Linked DNA regions of Caenorhabditis elegans. The protein of the gene in region 2 purifies or fractionates together with the protein of the main gene of each other region. This does not show direct contact. Each region holds a gene or a part of one and is shown on either strand. Other genes may lie near its edges. The genes, in order: crh-1 and crtc-1.

Region 1 (5,000 bases), on a different chromosome or scaffold from region 2:
TTTATTTTCAATTTTCGTGTATTCAGTGTTTTTTTTTCATATTAATTCCCTATGTTTTAATCGTTCCACGGAAACCCGTAGGCATGGAATTTAAATTTAAAACAAAAAAATTAAGTTAGTGTTGTATATTTACGTGCTTGTTTAGTCCTTCAATTTCTACAATTTAAGGTTTCATTCAAAAAAAAAGTCAGGAATTTTTTTTTCTGACCAACTTTTTTCTAGTTCAAAACTCTCAAAGGCAACTAACTAGGTAGGCGCTAGAACGCCTGCCTGCCTGGCCTTGGCATGCCTCTCGCCTCACAACAATGCACATTGTTTTCCTTTCTTAATTTGATTTTTAACAAATTAATAGAAATTTGCAAATTTGAAAATTCACGTCAAAGTGCAGAAAATAGGCGAAAGGCTGGCGGGCAGGTTTCAGGCAGGCCCTGAAACCGAGCCTGCCTACCATGGAAGCCCCCCGGCTTCTGGGGCTGAAAAATATTTTTTCTGAAACTACCGTAACCCTACAGTATTCCTACTGTACCATTATTGTACCACTACAGTACCCCGACTATATCCCTACACTAAGCCCAACTCACTATCCCTCCAGAAGCTAAAACTTCACAGACTACAAAAACTACATAGACTACAAACTATGGACAAACGGAATAAGCGCTTTATATATAGTAAATGATATATATATATCATTTTAAAAACACCATCAAATTCCGAAATTTCTAATTTTTAAAAATTTCAAAACCCAGAAAATGCCGAAATATCCCAGCGCACCCCTGCTCTAGACTATCCTTATTACCTGTAATGGTGAAGCATCTACACTGGACGGCGGCGTCTCCTCCGGCTCCTTCTTCATCACCTTATCCGCCGTTTCTAGATCTTTGAGGATCATGCTGAAATTATTGATTTTATTATTTTTAACACTTTAATATTTCAAATGAGAACCTAAAAAATTTCAATCACTATCACCCTACCTGGACAACAAGCTCGTCGACATTTTCAGCCATCAAAAGCATAATACTCAAAACAAAAAAACTTAAATTCGCATCTCTTGCAGTGCCGCGCCGCTGAAGGAAAAAGGAGTAAACTATGACGTCAGCGGGGTGGCAAAAAAAGACGGTGGAGAAACTGATAATCGCTGATAAAAATGAACGAAAATGATCAGTGACGTCATCAGGTACAACACCTTGTGTCTTGTTTTCTTACGTCGCGATGAGAGAGAAATTTTTAAAAATAGAATTTTAATTACTTTATGAGTGACGAATAAATATTAGCAAGATGGGCAATTTTGAAATTCACAAATTTTTTTGTCGACAAATTCGGCGATTCGGCAAATTGCGGGAAATCTTAATTGCCGGCAATTTGCCGATTTTCCACAAATTTAAATTCCGGCAATGTGCCGATTTTCCACAAATTTAAATTCCGACAATGTGCCGTTTTGCCAGAAATTTCAATTCCGGCAAGTTGCCGATTTTCCGGAAAAAAAATCCTTTGTAGCCCATCCCTGGGTTGAATATAATGGGTTGAATAATACTCAGCTGCTAAATTTTGCGTTTTTCGCCTATGCGCCTTTAAAAAACGCTGAAATTTCAAATTCTTTATTTTTCGATAAAAATCATTTCAGTTTAAAAACCAGAGAGAACCATTTCGATGAAAATTCAATAGTTTTCTAAATTACTTGTACTCCTCTATTAGTACGGCATGTCTAATATGTTTTATTGCATTTTTTAATAAAAATCTATATAAAATTATATTATCCTTTACTATATAGCATTATTATTCACACTTCTGACTGATTGTTGTAATCATTTTGTATTCTATATGTTTTAATTTCGTTCAGTTCATCACAGCGGCTTCAAATCGGCTTTAACTGACTCAAAAGTGCGTCATTTTGATACAAAAACTCGAAAATGCTCACATCATAGTGTGTGTGAAATTTTTTATTTATGCACCAAGCGGCGAGAACCCAAATGTCTTTTCGAGGTCAATGACGTTTGATTGACGACGACGACGTGTTTTTCCGCAGAGCCCGGAGAGCACTAACAATAGATGTTGAAGGTGTTCCGGAAGGATATCCGGACTCCGGAGCAACTCGAATGTGGTGGGTCAACCGATTATCTTCGGGGGAACGGAAATGGGAGCTCGTTTGACACGAGCAACCGGGTCGCAATTGGTTTTCTAAACTGATCGATATGCCTAGGCTTAGCAGCTAGGCTCGGCTGCTAGCTAGGTCTAGGCTCAGCAGAGATTCTTATTGAGTAATTGATAAAATACTAGTGATTTATGTGTCCTTTTCAAAAAAACCTCAAGTTTGGGATAATATTTTAATTATATCAGTGATCAACTAAGTAGTAACACTTTTTAATAGGCCTCAAACTACTTCCGAACCTTTTTCACAGTTTGAGAACGTTTAAGTTGATAATTGTGTTAAAAACGTAGTAATATGTAAATTCAGAGGTTGAATAACATTTTATATAAATATGGTCAATAACGCAACGCAGATATATATATATATGTATATATACTTATTTGTTTGAATACAAAAGCACGATTTTTGTAGGTAACTTTCGAGAGGATTAGTACTTATGGTTTGGGGTTTGAATATTTTAATTCCCATGTGTTCAAATTTCACGCTAATGAGAATACCATGACTCATTGATGTGCATTATCTAACCTTCTCTGATTAAATGATAGTCTGCTCAGAACGACCATGGCAGCATCTTTGAACCGAATCCGATTATTTCCATTCTCGAACGGTGGGGTGCCTAACTGGTAGAGCGCATTTGGCGGGAAATTCGCCATCATTGCTTGAGCTGGCAAAAGTGGTGTGAAGCCCGGCAGTGGCGCATATTGCTGTGGAAGAACCACCGGCGGCGGAATCATTCTTGCCGGCGGTCGGAACGCGGAGAGCGTCGCCGTCGACGCCGGTGGAAGTGGTGAAGACGAAGACGTGGCGCCCTCTGAAGCTCGTGCGAGAAGTTTTTTTTTTGTTGAAAGATCAATAAGAGGAGGTAATGAAGCGGAGAGATGTGAAAAATCATTGAAGAGGAACGATAAAAAAGAATGGAATATTAATTTCGAGAATAAATGTGTCTGACTGACTATTCTGATCTTATAAATTTCTAATATAAATTGTCCCATCATGAATCACCGCGGGTACCTACAAATTTGTGAATATTTGGCAAAACAAAGCTTGTTGATCTGCAGTTGCCACGTGAGAAGCTTCATACTCCTTACATGAGAAAAATGCAAGGCATCGTGGGAATGTTGAAAGATCATAGTTTGATCATTTAGATGTTTGCTATAAAGGATTAACGTCTAATTAGTGATTATGATATCTTTAGTAGGATCCCAAGGTCATAGTCTTAATGTCGGTAGTATCAGTAAAGTGATTTTACAAAAAAACTTTAATTGACACCGCAAAATCCAAACTAGTTCAGAAAAAATTCCAAAATTTATATTCAGAATAGCTCAATATGGAAGAAAGTCTGCGAAATAACCAGGAAGTGGGCGGGGTTAAAGGTGGTGTAGTCGAATTTTTTTATTGCCTTATTAGATTCAAAATTGTCTGAAAACACCGAATTTCATAATGAAACTTCTTGAAAACTTTTCAGAAAAAAGTTATGACGGCTCAAAAAATGGCCTAAATTAGTTAAAATCGGAAATTTGACCAACTTCTCAATGTCGTAGCGGCTGGAAACAATTTTTTTTGAAATTACCGTTAAATTTTGAGTATACAAGTTGATTATCTTGCGTTTTAAACTTAATTAAGGTATTTAAAAGTCGATGGACGGCGAGTTTTGGATTTAAAAAATTAAAAGTTTCGCCGTCCATCGATTTTTAAAAACCTTAATCAAGTTTAAAACGCAAGATAATCAACTTGTATACTTAAAATTTAACGGTGATTTCAAAAAAAAATGTTGCCGCTGCGACATTGATAAGTTGGTCAAATTCCAAATTTTAACTAATTTTAGGCCATTTTTTGAGCCGTCATAACTTTTTTATGAAAAGTTTTCAAGATGCTTCATTATGAAATTCGGTGTTTTCAGACAATTTTGAGTCTAATAAGGCAATGAAAAAAATTCGACTAAACCACCTTTAAAGTTGTATAAAAAACTCAAATTCCAAGAGAGGTGTGAGATTCTCTTTAAACCAAACTTTGGAAACTATAGAAAAAGATCTATGAAGTCTATGAAGTTGTGCTGATTACAAAACATCCAATAGCACAGAAAGACTCTCTGCTGCTAATCTGCTTAGTATTCAGAGAAGAGACGACCTAAAACCAATGTTCTGAGGGTGGAGGTCGGGTGCTCATTTCTAATTAAATCAAGCACACACATACACACACACACATACACAGAGAGAGGGGCACAAGAACCACCTTCAAGATGATGATGATGATGTTGAAAAAAAGAAGAGAAATGGAGGGAAAACGGTCCATATCAGATTTCTTTTCCTCCCCCCCCCCCCCTCTTTTGAGGTGGGGGTGGTAATGGCTGCTGACTCCGCCCCCACCACCACCAGCTCTCTACTCGAGTAATTCAGTGAGATATTGAAGAGAGCGGAAGACGAAGAGATATCTCACCACCACCCACAACTTGTTGTCCTCTACCTCTTTTCAGAGAGAAAAAAAAAGAGTATGTTGCTCTTTGGATAGAGTTGACCGCAATTTGTGTTTTGTTGGGGGATATGGGTTCTGGGAAATAAATATATTGATTGGCAACAGTGTTGTTTTAGAATTCGGCTATTAAACAACTTGCAGTTCACCGAATATTTTAAAACTTAAAAAGAGTGGCCAAGTTTGTCGAACAAATCAGAAGTTGCCTTTTTTCAAACGATCGTCGAATCAGTCTGTAGGTTCCACAATTGCCGATTTTCCGAAAGATTCGAAATTGGCAATTTTGCCAATAGTATATTAATAGTAATAATTTATATCCAACAATTCCTGAAATCGGTTATTTCCGATTTTGCAGAATTGTAGAAAACATCCGAGATGGGCATTT
Region 2 (7,970 bases):
AAAGGGACAGCCTGCCACCACGTGAGGGGCTGTTCCATTACGGTTTGATCTAGAAAAAATGCGGGAAATTTTAGCTCAAAAAAAATGTGACGTCAGAACTCTGCGTTTAAATTCCCGCCTTTTTTGTAGATCTACGTAGATCAAGCCGAAATGAGGCAATCTGACACCACGTGAAAATTCAATACAACCTACATTAAAATCATTATACGAATCAACATGATGCCCAGGTGCACCTTCAGCATTTGTAATTGTCAATTTCGGAATATCCAATGCCTCCGGTGAATTGGAGAATGTTCTCGTCGGCCACATGGGCGGTTGATTCGGATCCAATTGATTATGCGGTGACGTCGGCGCCGACTGTGATTCGGGTGTCAACGCTGGACCGGGTACTAGCCTCGGACCACATGCACCTGTACTATGTCTTGGTCCAATTGGAGCATGATAGTATCCACCACCAGGGGCTCCCCCGTTTGTATAAATTTCCTGTTGCTGTTGCTGCTGCTGTTGCACATTTTGAAGATTGGGTAAACTTCCGGCATCTTGATTGAAATCATGCATTCCGGGAGGACTTACTTCCATATACGGAGAGGGTGTCCCTGATCCATCGAGCATTAATGTTGAGGCATGGGGTGAATCCATCGGTGAATGGAGTGGTGAGCCATTATGATACCTGGAAAGTATGCGGATTATCGTTTGAAAAAGTGTCATTTTTTAGGTTTCCCTCATATTTTGAAATGGAAGAGTTTTTGGCGGACTAGGCCAGGCCATATCTTGGGTAGGTTTACGGCGCGCTGCGTGTCGCGTCGCGGCTCGGTTTCAGTGTCATTGTGGAGTACACGACTTTCCCACGCGTTTCCCGAAGCCGATTGTCAATGGAGCGCGAAAAATTCAATGAGAAAGGTTTTTTAAATTCCGCAAAAACTGAAAACTCGGGCATGATGAAAAATTTGAAAAAAAACCAGATAGATAGATTTTCCAAAAAAAAAAATTGCCGGCCAAAAATTTTTTTTTTTTCAGATTTCATAAACAAATAGGCCACGCGGCCTTGAAAAAAGCTCGGCCACGTTGCACACGGGGTTCTGGCCTTCCTCATTGAATTTTTCGCGCTCCATTGGAAATCTTCTGCCGGACAACGCGTGGGAAAGTCGTGTACTCCACACGGACAAATGCATTTAGTTTTACAACTAAAATCGAGCCGCGACGCGACACGCAACGCGCCGTAAATCTACCCCAAATATGGCCTGGCCTAGTTCGGCAAAAACTCTTCCATTTCAATTTATGAGGGAAGCCAGAAAAAAAAAACCGAAAATCTACTTTTTTTAAAGGTTTTCATTCGAGAAAATCGCCCAAATTACTGAATTCTGTTATTTTTTATTCGAAAATTTACGTGGCCGGGCATATTTGCTACAAGAGAAAACTCGGCCACGTAGCAGTTATTGGTGTGTTCTAAAAAATCCGGAAATAGGCCCCGAAATAGGGAAACTCGGCCACGTGGCAATTTCAAACGAAACTGCTGATATCAGTCCCATTGGAAATTTTACGAATATAACACAATTTTGTAAAAATTTTGCAAAACTTGAAATGGAAGAGTTTTTGCCGAACTAGGCCATTTTAGCTCGGGCACGGCCGGGGTAGATTTACGGCGCGTTGCGTGTCGCGTCGCGGCTCGATTTTAGTTGTAAAACTAAATGTATTTGTCCGTGTGGAGTACACGACTTTCCCAGTCCGGCAGGCGATTGTCAATGGAGCGCGAAAAATTCAGTGAGGAAGGCCGGAGCCCGTGAAAAATAATATTTTAGGAGCCTGGAAAATTGAAAGGTGGCCTAGGAAGTACAGAAAAGTTTAGAAATATGGGACGGCCTAGAAATTTCAACATGGCCTAAAAACTTTTGATGGCATAGAAACTCCAAAAAAGTATTAATGAGGAAAGAAAGAACCCCGTGCAAAGTGTCTGTGTAAAAAATTGGTGGCTGATTTTTTAAAAAGATTTTTGCTGGTCGGCACTTAAAATTAGATGCTGAAATCGTAATTTTACGGGTAATTGCTCAAAAAGTTTGGTTGGAAAACTCGGCCACTCGGCCACCACGCCACGGCCACGTAAACTTTGCAACCACGTGGAGTTAGAAAGTCCCATTTAGCTTTGATCTTCGAAAAATGCGGGAGGTGAGACGCAGAGTTCTCAACTGATTTCGCATGCTTAAGAACGTGCTGACGTCACTATTTTCTGGGGAAAAAATCCCGCATTTTTTGTGGTTCAAATCTCCAACTTTATATCCCCGGGCCACTTAAACTTTGCAACCAACTCACCCATACATAGGTGTCATCATATGATTAGGTGATTGTAACGGTGACATTCCATTATTGCCTCCGCCCATTTGTTGGTTATTGCCCATTTGTAATGGTGGAGGTATCTGATGATGCATCTGAACCGGTGATCCTTGCTGCGATCCTTGAGGTGTTAACTGAGGTGAGTGTTGTTGTGATTGACTGTTCGGAGCCATCATTCCAGATGGTCCAGGCATCGAATTTTGAAGATAATGAGGCATTTGATGAAATGCCATTTGTTGTTGTTGATGGTGATGTGGATGCATTGGAACCATACCGCCCATGTTATGAATTGCAGGATCCGAACGTGCACGATTGATTCTGCAAGGTCAAAAATTGGCTCTGATTTTTCGAATATATATATTAAAGGATTAAATTCAGCGAATATTTGCAACAAGACTGCCCGACTTTCGGATACGGGTAATTTAGGTAGAAAAATGGTTTTTTTTTCGTGAAAAAGGCTGTGAAATGTCAAATAAATATTGAATCGAATATCAAAAAAATTGGTTCGGAATTTTTTTCCAAAACTTTGTTTTGTTAGTTAAATTACTATGTGAAATTACAGACTCAGTCATTGCGTATTGGTGTCATTAAAGTGATGAAAAATATTTGCAAAAATGAGTTTTTAAATTTTGAACGGCTGTAACTTTAGAAACATGCAAAGCAGGGTTTTTTTGGTTTTTTTTTGCGAAAAATTAATTCGAAAAATCTAAAAATTGATTTTTTGGTTTTTTTTTAGTCCAAAAAATCCAAAAAATGTTTGCCGTGTCGAGTCTCGACTCGTGACTATTCTCTATTAGTAGGGTTATTCAAGTAGTGTCGGAAAATTGAAATGTAGAAAAATTACGTCACAACTGTATCAGAATCCATTAAAACATGTATGTTAATACATTTTGCAACATTATTTGAATAAACCCATTAAAAATAAACTCAAGCATCAATATTTTTTGGTTTTTTTTTTGGATTTTTGAATGTAAAAATAGTAATTGCCACCTTTTGACAGTAAATAAAAAAATTTCAAAAAATTTGGCCACCTTGTTTCATCTATACCCATTTCTGAGCTACGACGGCCATTGGAAGTGTGCTAGGTACACGTTTTGAAAAAGTCCAAATTTTGGATTGTAATTCCAAAACCAGTTATTTGACAAAAAACTGTCTACTCAAAAAACAATTTTCAACTATTTATAAACGTTTTATAATATCCCGTTTGTTGTCAAAGATTCAAATCGATAAAGAAAAAATACAATGTTTTAATACGAATAATTAAGGCAAAATTAAAGTATAAAAATGTAGTTCGCAAAAATTTGCATTTGAAATTAAAAAAAAAACTTCTCGCTGACGCTGATTTTTAGAGAAAAAAAACTCAGTTTTTAAATATTTATCAAAATTCAAAAACTCACTGATTCCACGACTCGGGCGGCACAAGCTGTCCAGGTTGGTTATACGGGGGTCCATAGGGCGTATACTGCGGGTGTTGGGGAGGCGTTCGATCGGGCGATCGTGATAATCCATTCGATCTCATTCCATACGGATGATAGTGATGTGATGGTGATCCAGATGCACTTCCGATCATGTGATCCTCTGGTGATCGACTTCGATGTCCTTGCTGTAATGGAGTTCGTTGCTGAAGAGATTTACAATTAGGAAAAAAACTTACGATAGGTCTGTGTTGAATCTCGTGCTGCCAATTTGGTGGCCATTGTGGTGGAGAGTAGGATGGCATTTGATGGACGTTCGGCAGGGATCCTCCGAGATTGTGACCCCATGGTTGTTGAGGTGGAAGGAGACCCTGGAATATGTTCATTCAATAGTTTATACTAACATTTGAATAATTGTAACATTTTGATTTTAAAGGTGGAGTACCGAAATTTGAGACTTTGCTTTTTTAGACCTAAAATGATACAAAACTACCAAATTCCGTAATGAGACGTTCTGAAAATTTCTAAAAAAAAAAGGCAAATTCTTTGGAAAGTTTCAGGCAGTTTTTGAGATATTTTTCAAGTGTTTCGATGAAAATGGATGTTATTTTCAAACAGAAAAAATATGTTTCTATATTTCCACAATTATTTTCACTTTTGTAGATTCGCCTTACCTGTTGCGGAATGGGCATTGGTGCAGTTGCCGTCGATGATCCTGATGAATCCGTCGGATGATGGGTGATTGATTGCACCTGAATAGAAAAATATTGGCATCTTGCTACTTAACATTTTTACGGCCATTGTCATTGCGAAAAATTTTGAAAACCGGCAATTGCCGAAATTGCCCAAAAATTCATAAACACGGCAATTACCGAAATGGCCGAAATAGTCAGAAATTTCAATTTTCTGCAATTGCCGAAATTGCCAAAAATTGCCAAAAATCCATAAAACCAACAATTGCCGGAATTGCCGAAATTGCCGGATATTTCCAAAACCGGCAATTCCAGAAATTGCCGGAAATTATCATTTTTGGCAATTGGCAAAAATTTCCAAAACCGGAAATTTCCAAACTTACCGGTTGCCGAAAATTTCCAAAACCAACAATCGACGAAATTGCCGATTGCCGGAAAGTAACAAAACCGGCAATTACCGGAATTGTCGATTGCCGAAAATTTGAAAATATTAATGTTTGAAGCACAAGTAGACTATAAAAATGAAATAAAAATTTTATTGATCTACGACTTCCAAAAAAGTGGCAAAAACGGAGATTTTGCCTATTTTCAAAAACTCATATAAAATTTAGAATTTTTTTTTATTTTAGTTTTTTTTTTTAATGTTTTGAAACAATTGGCGCTATTTCAGTAGACATTTCCAATTTTTCGATTAATTATTCGATTCGAGACAATTATATTTTTCAAGTAACTATTATCCGCTTTTGATACTAAAAAATTGAAAGTCATGACTTTGATGAGTTTATGAAAAAGTTGAAAAAAAAAAATTCTTCGAGTATAACTTGTCAGGGGCGGGTGGCAAACGATTTTTTCCGGCAAATCGGCAAATTGCCGGAATTAAACATTTCCGGCAAATCGGCAAACCGGCAAATTACCGATTTCCCGAATTCGCCAGAATAACGGTAATTTGCCGAAAATTTTCGGCAAATTGTGGTTTCGCACTATTTTTTGGAAATTTCAGAATTTCAATTTCAAATGGCAAAATTAAACGCATCCTATGAATGTTCCTACATCTATTTTGAAAAGTAAGCATATTATATGAAAATATCTAAAGAAAACGTTTTTAGATTTTTCCGTCTTATAAAAAATCCCTCTAAATATTTCCGGCAAATCTGGTAACCGGCAAACGGCAAACCGGCAATTTGCCGAACGGCAGTTGCGCCCACCCCTGGTACAACTGTTAAATTTCTTTAGTTTCGCCCAAAAAATTATTTTTACTAATTTTTTGTTAGTTCTCAACAAATGTTAAATTTTCAAATAAAAACGCAATTTAGAAAAACAAATTTTGCATTATATATATATATATATATATATATAGCTAATTTCCAAACCTGTCGCATAATATCCTCAAACGTTGTATTCTCCTCATTCTGTTTCCTCTCGAGTATTGCAATCTTCTCACTGAACTTGCGTGGTGTATTCGAATTTGACATTCGCATCGCTCCCAGGGAGAGAGCGATTTCGTCGGTCTATTTCCGCTATACTTGGGGGAAATTTCAGATGGAGAATTCAAATGTTTCGATGTTTTTCCTGCAGGTGATTGAAATGAGTAAAATAAAACGAGCAAGGGAGAGAGAGACGGGAAAAGATCAGAAAATGAAAATGAAATCCGAGAGCTGAAGGAGGAGGTGAGGGTGGAGGAGAAGCCTTGAGAGAGAGAGAGCACTTTCAGAGATTAGACACACATGCACACAAGGATATATATATATATATCTAAAATCGGAAAATGTGTCGAGAGTAGTATGGGGGAAATTTGGGAAACATTGCATTGCGAGAAAATTTCATTTTGCCGAGGAGAGCAGCGTGACCGATAAAATTTAAAAGTTCGGCCACTATCTTCTTATGGCCTAGTATTTTGGAAAATTAGGCCATCAGGAACATCAACGGTATCCCCACGTGACCTGGCATGGATTTTCTCATAAATTTAAATGGAAGAGTTTTTGCCGAACTAGGCCATTTTTGCTCGGCCATATCTGGAGTAGATTTACAGCGCGTCGTAGCTTCATTTTAGTTGTAAAACTAAATGTATTTGTCCGTGTGGAGTACACGACTTTCCCAGTCCGGCGGGCGATTGGCAATGGAGCGCGAAAAATTCAATGAGGAAGGCCAGAACCCCGTTACCTGGGATTTTATCAAGTTAGGCATGGAGTAAGTGGAAAAGTTCGACCCAGGGTTAAAAAATATAGAAGATTTTTCCTTGTGGCCTAAGAAGTTGAAAAATTAGGCCACCTGGAAAGATGGCCTTTGAGTTTTCCCTGTAGCCTAGTTTTAGGAAAAGTTAGGCCACCTGAAAAAGAGGCAAACTAATTTAGAAAATCTAGATGTGGCAGATAAATTTCGAAAGTTCGACTTTTGGAAACTTATTCTAAAATTAGAGAAGATTTTTTCTGGTGGCCTAGGTTTAGGGAAAGTTAGGTCATCAATATTTTCTTTAATTTTCCCAAGTGGCAGAACAATTTGAAAACTTCGGCCACCAAAAACTGGTTGATTTTGGGAAGTTAGGCTATTAGTTGAGAGGTCCCTGAGATTTTCCCTCGTGACCAAGAAAAGTTTAGCCTGGAAAATAGGTTTTTGCACAATATGGCCGAGAATACATAGAAGTTAGGTCAGATTTCTTTGTGGCCTAGGATTAATGATAAGTTAGGCCATCAGTTTTTCTACGTGGCCTAGAAATTCAATTTTTTTCAGAAAATTTTTTTGAAATCCCGCCAAAATTTTTCTCAGAAGATTTGAATTCCCGCCAAAATTTTTTTCAGAAAACTTGAAAAAGGCTCGTGTACTCCACGTGTACAATTTTTTTGAAAAAAATTAACGGAACAAAATATTTCAACACAAATTTAAATAAATGACTCATCAATAATTTTTTTTTGAAAATTTTAACTTTTTAAAAGCTATACAAAAGAGCAATTGCCACGTGGCAATTAAAAAAATCTAAAAATAAGCTGGAAATTGGCTGAAAAAAGAGGAAATCAAGGAAGCTGACACATACATAAAAAAAGAAGAAAAAAAAAGCAGAAAGAGAGAGAGAGAGAGAATAGATGGTGGTGGCCGGTGAGAGACTTAGAGAAAAAGACAAAAAAGAGCATGTGATAAGGCTAAGGGCGTTGTGTGTGTGTGTGTCGCTCCGAAATGAGTGAGAGAGACGTTTACCACTTATTTCGGGAAGTGCTCAGCGCTAAATTTAGGAGAGATTTAGTTTTTTTTTTTGCCGGAAAAATAACAAAAACTACAAAAAGATTGAAATTATAGGGTTTTCTCAGCAAGTCTAGATATTTAACATTTTCGCAACATATAATTTAAATTTTATGTAAAAAATTTGGTAAAAACGTGGCCGTGGCCTAGAAAACCTGATATATGGCAGAAGTTTAGCAGTGTTCTAGACAACTAAAAATAAAGTTAGGTAATATAAACATTTTTATTTTTATTATTTCAGATTACCTGTCAGTACCAAACAAATGAATTGAGATGGAAGAGTTTTACCGAACTAGGCCATTTT

The links.
Region 1: the proteins of crtc-1 (region 2) and crh-1 purify together in Caenorhabditis elegans (affinity purification with western blotting, with the first as the bait; one study listed by BioGRID). This does not show direct contact.

What each region holds. Positions count from the first base shown.
Region 1 is NC_003281.10:11,681,100-11,686,099, reverse strand, and holds the start of crh-1 (CREB homolog crh-1), read right to left. Parts: upstream 3,139-5,000; coding exon 2,672-3,138; intron 891-2,671; coding exon 797-890; intron 1-796. UniProt on the Caenorhabditis elegans protein: Transcription factor. Transcriptional activity probably positively regulated by phosphorylation. Modulates expression of target genes, acting by binding to regulatory cAMP response elements (CRE).
Region 2 is NC_003279.8:2,024,350-2,032,319, reverse strand, and holds the start of crtc-1 (CREB-regulated transcription coactivator 1 homolog), read right to left. Parts: upstream 6,005-7,970; 5' UTR 5,908-6,004; coding exon 5,806-5,907; intron 4,496-5,805; coding exon 4,418-4,495; intron 4,115-4,417; coding exon 3,983-4,114; intron 3,932-3,982; coding exon 3,726-3,931; intron 2,647-3,725; coding exon 2,308-2,646; intron 671-2,307; coding exon 193-670; intron 1-192. UniProt on the Caenorhabditis elegans protein: Transcriptional coactivator for crh-1, the homolog of vertebrate transcription factor CREB1. Regulates the transcription of metabolic genes and may have a role in mitochondrial dynamics and metabolism. Involved in modulation of lifespan.